Linked DNA regions of Tribolium castaneum. The protein of the gene in region 1 interacts with the protein of each later gene in a biochemical or structural test. Links are inferred from orthologs where the notes say so. Each region holds a gene or a part of one and is shown on either strand. Other genes may lie near its edges. The genes, in order: synaptosomal-associated protein 25 and cpx.

Evidence for each region.
Region 2: the proteins of synaptosomal-associated protein 25 (region 1) and cpx are reported together in a solved structure, tested with the Homo sapiens proteins (2 studies listed by BioGRID, with this or other methods). The link is inferred for Tribolium castaneum from reciprocal best matches to the Homo sapiens genes SNAP25 and CPLX1.

What each region holds. Positions count from the first base shown.
Region 1 is NC_087396.1:11,304,977-11,309,604, reverse strand, and holds part of synaptosomal-associated protein 25, read right to left. Parts: intron 4,328-4,628; coding exon of another isoform or gene 4,279-4,327; intron 3,908-4,278; coding exon 3,859-3,907; intron 3,566-3,858; coding exon 3,517-3,565; intron 2,291-3,516; coding exon 2,173-2,290; intron 2,112-2,172; coding exon 1,838-2,111; intron 1,195-1,837; coding exon of another isoform or gene 1,132-1,194; exon of another isoform or gene 915-1,131; coding exon 849-914; 3' UTR 1-848.
Region 2 is NC_087395.1:18,247,101-18,250,928, reverse strand, and holds part of cpx (complexin), read right to left. Parts: intron 1,508-3,828; coding exon 1,347-1,507; intron 1-1,346. UniProt on the Homo sapiens protein: Positively regulates a late step in exocytosis of various cytoplasmic vesicles, such as synaptic vesicles and other secretory vesicles.

The DNA.
Region 1 (4,628 bases):
CACTAAAACTTAAATACTGTACATAATTAAAAACAGAAACTTTTAAATAATGGAAGATGTCAGGACAAAAATATTCACACCCGTTTGGGAACAATTTGGATATGACTAATCACAGTGATTGCATTTTAACTAGAAAAAAAGGCTGCATGCCTTTCAGGCTTCCGGTCCTGTTCCCCTAACAATTTTTTATAAACTGTTCCAAACATCAACAAAAACAATTCGTTCTGAACTCGCCCCCAACAAATCAATTTTTGATAGTTTCGAAACTGAGCTAACCGACAGGGCAAGTTCCTTGTGATTCTAGTGCATATACCAACAATATATACAGTTACAGCGACAACCTTATGTACAATGTGGACTCAACAACTTCAATCTTCCAAAAAAACTCACATCACATTTAGTAGGTATATGAATACTTGGTACAAGTTATGTACTAGAGCTAAGTAAGCGCCGGCAATTAGCACCACACCTTGAGAAAATCGCATAAGTAACATCCGTTTTTTCCTGCATGAACTGGGATTTAATCCAAGAAGAGTGCAAATTTTGTGCTTCATCCTAACTAGACAGTTTCACAAAGAGCTAATACGTGTATGTTAAGCGTTCACAAGTGTACGAAATGAGCATAATTAGGAACGTAATTCATTGCATCATATCGCTAAATTAATTTAGAAAAATCGAGATATTAAACGGCTAGCTCTACTGGATGCAGCAATAACCGGCCATGACTTTTTAAATATTAACTATTACATTATAATGATGTTATAGTAATACTCGTAAACTAGTAACACTAAGCCATAACATTGAGAATTGATAGAAGAGTATAAAAGGCGACTTGTGTCCCACTCCCCTTAGGACTTGAGGAGTTTGTTGGCACGCTGGTTTGCCACTGCAATGCGCGTTTCGTTGCTTTCACCCTAACCAACAAACATATAACCAGTGTGCCCCATCACAAAAAACTACAGCCCAACCTGATCCGGCCCCACACTAATAAAACAAGCGCAAATTGCGTCAAAACAACCAAAAACGGTTAATTTCGTTTCTTAAAGTTTCTCCAATTGTAGAAAAATAACAGGAACGGATCAGGCTTGCAATCAAAGTCTGTAAAAATATTAGTGTTTTTGTGTTGTGTGTCTACTTGAGGAGATCGTGGGCACGCTGATTGGCCACCTCTATCCTTGTTGCATTGGACTCGCCCTGATTCGGACCATTAGTAGGTAATGTACGAGTAGATGTAGTGTCGTGAAGTGAACGGCAATGTAAACAAACAACACCAAGATTATTAAAATTCACAAGCAAATCCATCAGAAAATTATTCGTAAATGCTAGCGCAAATCGGCAGAAGCTTTTTGAAAAAAATAAAACGAAAATATTTAGAAACCAATCAAAGAGTGCATTTAACGCTCCAGTGCTCGCAAATAAACACCCCACTGGTTCAAAAAGCTCGACGCGCCAGGCGAGGCTGCTCAAACTCACAACCACAAAAATTTCATTTTTATTTGTCTAGTAAAACAAACAACCATTAAATGGGTCATTTGGAAAAGAAAACATGCCCTTTTTTCTGTGATTTCCTTCTCTTTGCAAGCGGCCTTATTTTAATTATCATTTGTATAGTGTTTGAAACCCTTTTAGCAAAATTAGTATTTGATTATGTTGAAAACTTATATTTGTGGACATGTTGCCGTTTCCAAATTACTGGTTCAGTGCTTCTTATTTGAGAAACCCCCCCTCCAAGTTCGTAACTAACATACTTACCACCGTTAGCGTTTAATTAAATTAAGATAAAATCCAGTGCTAGCACAATATCGAACGAAAACTTGTAAAAATCGGCCGTAGTTACCTTGAGATTGATACGATCGACCTGTCTGTTTTGATTCTCCAACTCTGAGCCCATGTCGATGGCCATGTTGCGCAAATTTCCGATCATGGTATTAACCTGTCCCATGTTTTCTTCCATTTCTTCCTCGCGTGCGTCGTTTGTGATACGTCCGATGTATCCTCCCTGCGGCCCAAGACCGTTGCGATCGTCCATCATTCTCTGCGGCTGATTATTCACGACTTTTCCGTCGTCGTTACCCTTCCAAGTGCCTTCGTCCTCTTTAAACGACGACCCTCTGCGATAAAATAAAACAAATCTCGTGTCGTATACAAATCTAGATCGCCTGAAGGACTCACTTCTGACATGGTAAAACGCACAGTCCGCAACATTTTTCCATCCCCGTGAGGTTCTTTTCGGCTTCTCGCATATCGGCGTTGATTTGGTCCATGCCATCCTCGATACGGTCCAGTTGCTCTGCGCAATATCGACTTCAATAAGCATTTGGACGAGTCCGAGGCGATTTAGCACATTAACTCGCTATAGTTTGAAATGTGTATGCGTTTGATGTGTGTGTCAGAGTTGGAACAAACCGCATGCACATGCCACTATTCTACTCGGGAATCCCCGAATCCAGGTCAGGGACTCGGTTAATGCACTACAGTTCTAGATGTTTTAGTAAGCAGACTAGTATTCAGTAAAATTCATGCTACTCGAGATGTTTATAAGAACGACCTGAGCTGGGAAATATAATAAGAGAACTGACAGTGTGAAATATACACGTTTAACGGTTATGTGAGTTAGTGTTAACTTACTTCGACAGTGTTAATCCTTCATGTATGTTGTTGTCTTTGAATCATGTATTATATTATCCATTACAACGTTATTTTTATTGATGAAGGTTCACGCTGAAGTGCTTTCGTTTCGAGACATTCGAGTAAAATTTTTATAATGTAGGTAAATTTTAAGAGACGAAAGCATTTCAACTGCTGACTGTACTTCATTGATTTGTTTTGGACACGTTTCAGTTTTAGGAGGATATGGGAAAGTTGTGCAGGACGATTTGGGTACACATTTCCTTACTTATCCGTCCCTCGAATCGTTTTATTTTACGCCCGGCTGGCTGCTGTCGTTCGATTTTTAAGCGCCTCCGTGCGATAAATATTTTAGAATTCCACATATTTCATAAAAAACAAACAGTACGAGAACAATAAATAAATTAAACACCGTATTGACATTTTTTTTAAATAAAAAATGCTCCTTAATTATTCACTAAAATATTTCCCGAGGATGTCGGGTTTTTAGCAAACAATAAATAAAAAATATTCTTAGTAAAGTTCAATAATGCGTCCAAATCCAATCCAATAACCCTCTGGACAATTTAGGAAGTAGTTCAAGCGAAAATGTATGCCTGGAGAGGAAGTTAGAAACTTCTTCGAGCATAAATCAAACACAAACTCCTATTGAAATCGAGCATTTAATTAACGGCCTTCAATTATTAACTACCGGCTTTTTTGTAATCCTCTCGCCCTGCACAACTAAGAGACTGTGTCATAAATCTGTATCGTCAGGTAAGATTGGGAGGGCAAAAGTTCAACTGAGAATGTCGTGTGGTTCGGATCTAAGGAGTGAGAATTGTTCAGTTAATTGTGGGTGAATTGGAATATAAAGAGAGACACAGCGAGACTAGATAGTATGCTTACCGCCCTGTTCATCCAGCATGACCAGGGTTTTCATCCCGACCTCGTGGCTCTACAAACATCAAGACAATCAGCTTGGTAACCTGCGTCCGTTCTCACCATGTTCTCCCCGTTAAATAAGTGAGTCAGTTGGGCGAACACAAGCTAATGTGTTAGCCCGACTGGCGTTGTTAGTCCCTTCGACACCTATAGATAAGTTAATCCACCAAACAGAGACCTGTTAGCCCACCACAGGTGTAAAAAATGAAAACAAACTCAACACGGTCTTTGCGAGAAAGAGCGCATTGCAATTAAATCCCCAATAAAGCAATGGTTAATCAACACCTGGACACTTCGAGTGCTTACCGCCTTGATGGTGGAGCATTTCCATAGTCTTGGCGCCGGCATCGGTACTCTACAACATCACAGTGGCTAGTAGCATACTTACACGACAATACACAGCACACCACTAAACCACAACACCCAGATAAATATCAAAAAAGATGTGGAATGAAGCAGAATAACACACAAGTAGTGAAAGCAGTAAGACAAGCTAAAGCCACCATAGCATGCAAAACGTGTGGGAATGCAAAATGTATATCAGTCTGTATCCATGTAAAATACATCACATTTAAAATGATGATGGATGGCGCCACAGCTCGTGACTTAAGTCACAGCCGTGCGTGAATATGATGAGGTATACACAAAAATTTGAGTCACAATGACGGATCTTGGGTTAAATGATATTTGGGTTAAGTATGATAGAGTGAGTGGAGAGAGACTCACCTCCCTGGTCATCAAGAGCGACCAAGGTTCGGATTCCAGCCTCCTTGCTCTACAGCAGCACAAAACAAGTGTACACTGTTTGTTAGTATAGATGTTAAGTGGTACACGCCCGCTACAGATAAGCACTCAGTATATTATTTGTTCAGTTCGAAGAGATAGAGAAGAGATTTATAGAGAGGAAGTTAGAGAGCGAGTGGAATGGGTAGCCCGGCAAGCTGGAGGAGGATGTACGATAAGCTATGATAGAGGCGCGCGAGTCGCGACACATGAGGGTTTCAACAGGATCACCTTACTGTATAACCATAAAATAAAAAAATTAAATGAACACGCAAAACTTCTACAATTCATTT
Region 2 (3,828 bases), on another chromosome or scaffold:
GAACTCTTAAGCCTCAAATCTTGAGTGTATTTTAGTAGCTTTTTTACAGAGGAAGGGCTTAACCATATTTTATAGTAGGTACAGTTTCGAGGAAAAACACTATTTCATAATAAAAAAATAAATGGTGCAAATAGAATTTCTCTTGAATGCCAGTAAGTTAAACGAAATTTTGATTCAAAAGTATCGGTTCAAAACGTGGAGCTAAGAATAACGGCTGTTGTCGAAACGTTGCAAATTAAGAAGAATCATTTTTTACGACCTATATTTCCACTAACAGCCACCAAGTATTTTTTATAATATTCGAAACAAAATAAAATAATAAAGTCTAAATTATTATTTGTGGTTGCGATTTAAGCTCAGCCCAGTTCACAAGGGTGTCATTCTCTACGCTCGTGACTATACGTACAGTTACATAAGGAACAAACTTTCGCAATATGTAAATGGAAAGTGCTTGGGTTCTATTTTTAAAAATAAACACTCTCAATTCCATGATAAACTTTAATATGTAAACTAATCCGAGTAATGCAAATAGACGGAGTTTTTCGCGAAAAGTGCATTAAAATAGATTTTCTTGCACAAAATTATAACTTCCAAGAGTTGAGAACTTGACAATAGTCGATCCGAAACTTCTGGTCTAATATTTATAAAAGAAAATTTTTGTATTATTCCTTTTTGTTTGTTCCCCTCTTCCGTATCACACTTTTTGTTTGTTAAAGTTTTGGTAAACAACTGATATTACAACAGAAAAAGCCGGCATACAAGTTGCATTTTTGGACTGTATTCCGCTGCATAGCGCTCAAGGAAAGCAACTGTAATGTATGTCGGGTAATATAAAGTGCAAAGTACGCTAATATGTAAAATGGTGGATGCGCCGGTCTAGAATCAAAACTCGAATTAGTTTACAAATCGATTAATTAATTTGCGACTTGTTCCTCTTCAGGCACATTAAGCAATTTGCAATAATCACGACACAAAGCTGATTACGCGTATTATAACCGAACAAATAGACTGTCAATAATGGTAGCGTCGGCGGCACGCCGTTTAACTGCTCAAAAATTGCGATAAGGAATCGCATTCCGGGCGTGCCCGGCTAACATTTAAACCGGAGTTATTCTCGTTCCGGGCCAAGGCCGGCGCGTTTTTTCCTCCGGATCGATGTCGATCGAGTTGACATTTCGATAATTCCCATTATGGAATTATGAAGGGGTCAGACGTGACAACCGCAGATACATCATGCGACTCCTCACGGCTCGTTAACTCACGCGTACAATACACCGGGCGTTGATTAATCGTGTGTCATTTGATATAAATCACGACAATTCGAAAAATCGATCGTTTGCACTGACCTTGTCCCTGATTTCTTGTCTCATCTTTTCCCTTTCTTCCTCCATTTTCCTGTGTTTTTCCTTTCGTCGCTCCTCAGCCTCGCGGATGGCTTCCAGCCGCTCCCGCTCGGCCTCCTCCTCCTTTTCTTTGTCGTCGCCGTCGTCATCGCCACCGACCGCTCCTGAAACCGACGAATCATTGCCACAATGCTCCAGTCAAGATACACTTCATGCACAAAGGCCGAGTTTATGCGCAAAATTCACTACCTCCTGGATAGCCATTCCAGGAATAATGCAACCTGATCCCAAATTTGCAAAATAATCCTAGTACCATGTACGGTTTCTTTCAAAATACACGGTTGGGTTTATATTTAATGTATTTTGCGACGAAGGAGGTTTTTTTTGTTGTGGATTTAAAATGGGATAATAATTGAAGTAATTCTTTGGATTCTAAAATTTACATAAATTTACACAAAAGTATATGTATAAACTGCCCTGCTAAGCGCATTAGCAGTTAGTCACACTACTTTTGTAGACGTTTTTAAAATTTTAACACGGGAAAACGCATAGTTAAATTTAAAGAGATTTCACTAAATTACTTATTGGCAAGAAACTCGTATCTCAAGAAATTGTATAAATAAATGAGAAACCTAATAAAGAACTCAAATTATGTTAAATAGTCCAAATAATACAATCTTAATGTGTAGTAAGTACTTGTAATTAACATTTCTACGAACCACATATTTGATATTTGATACAAAAAAAAATCGAGGTACAAAATAAGTATTTAGATAAGTATTATTAATTAAATATTTCGGAAACGTGAGGTGTTCCATTTTTCAAATTTTTTTCAGGACTTAGGGCATGTAACTCTATGCTATAAGAAAATAGAAAATATAACTTTCAGCTCAGGCAGTACAAATTAACAAAAATTAAGCTTTTAGCCTGTATTTACGCGACATGGCTAACGTATAGTGTGAAAAAGCTAAAATTAGGAGTGGATTGGATAAAGAATCTATCGAATTACATTTTTTACTTTAAAATTAAAAAAAAACTACAACTTCAAATAACTCGCTCACAAAAACAGACCGAATGGTGTATTCTTGGAAAAAAACAAGAACTCTTGAAAACATTTAAAAAGATATTGCCGGACAATTGTTTAATTGTTTGGTACAATTTGTCCCAAAAATAAAAATGTCTATATTGTATTTGTGAATGAGTAGAACTCGGAATTAAGTTCATACTGATTTTATTACAAAAATAATTTGAATATACACTAAATTTACTTACAAACTAGAACAGTTACTCTAAAACAATGTTAATTTCAATAATAATTTGTCCATTTAAATTTTAAACACATTATTGTTATTGCTTAGTTGTCGCTGGTCAGGTGACCCACTTAAGACATTTTGCTGGCATTCGCTGATGCCGCGGAAATGCTTGCAACTTTTACGGAAAATTCTTGCTCTAATTTTTCCCAAAAATTCTGTTCAACCCCATGGTTAAACATGAATGGATACAGTCAAATATTATAAAAATTATTCAACAAAACTAAATGAGTTTTGGTATGTGCTTAAAAGTAATCATTTTAGTTCTGTCGTCTCAGATGTTTATAAAATTTTAATCTCCATGTGTTTTGTGGATACAAGACTAACTTGATTTTTTTTAAATGGCAAGAAAGTTCAAATTTTATATTTTTAAGAACCTTTTTTTTCTGAGTTCTGTGAACACGTACATACCTTATTAAAAAAAATTATCGAACTAATAAAATTTTTCTAGCTTTAGAATTTTTATCTTTATCGAATGTAAGCCAGTTGCCGGCTGAATTTTGACCCAAAAATAAGTAAAAGGTAATAATAACTGTTAATAGTTATTTATTGCATAAGGGTCGGTTTCATCAGCGTTGGTTAAATTTAATAAATAGTTAAAAATAATCGTTGCTATGATTATAACAATCGTTTCTCTGGATTTATTCTACAACGGTGAAACCGACCCTAAGACAATAAAGGGATTGTTTATCTACGAGTGAAAAGGTTAAGATCAAGAGTGATGAAGTCACGAGTGGACAACTTTATCGTCGTGTATAATACAATATTTTTTCTATAGCAAGAGCAAGTTTAAGAAAAAAAAGTTATTGGTAACCTTACAAATTTTTTAAATTCAGATGTTGGAATTTGTAAATTTAATTGAATAAAAAAATTTAAAATATTTTATCTACATTTGCAGTTAAGTGCTATTTTATCTACTCAAAAAAGTCGATAAAGTAATAGTTTAACATCTGTTATAGAAAAAAATAACACTTTTAATTGAAAAAGAACACATTTTAATAAAAAAATGTGGCTGTATCCATACATATTAGCACCCTATATGTACAAGACCGTGTATAAGCATTGTATAAGTTCTTTTTATTGCATTTTCGGTAATTTATTATGCTAATATCTAGCTCTCATTTGTTTAAGTTTCTTTAAGAAATATTTTTTGTAGTTACGACTTTTTTGCTAAG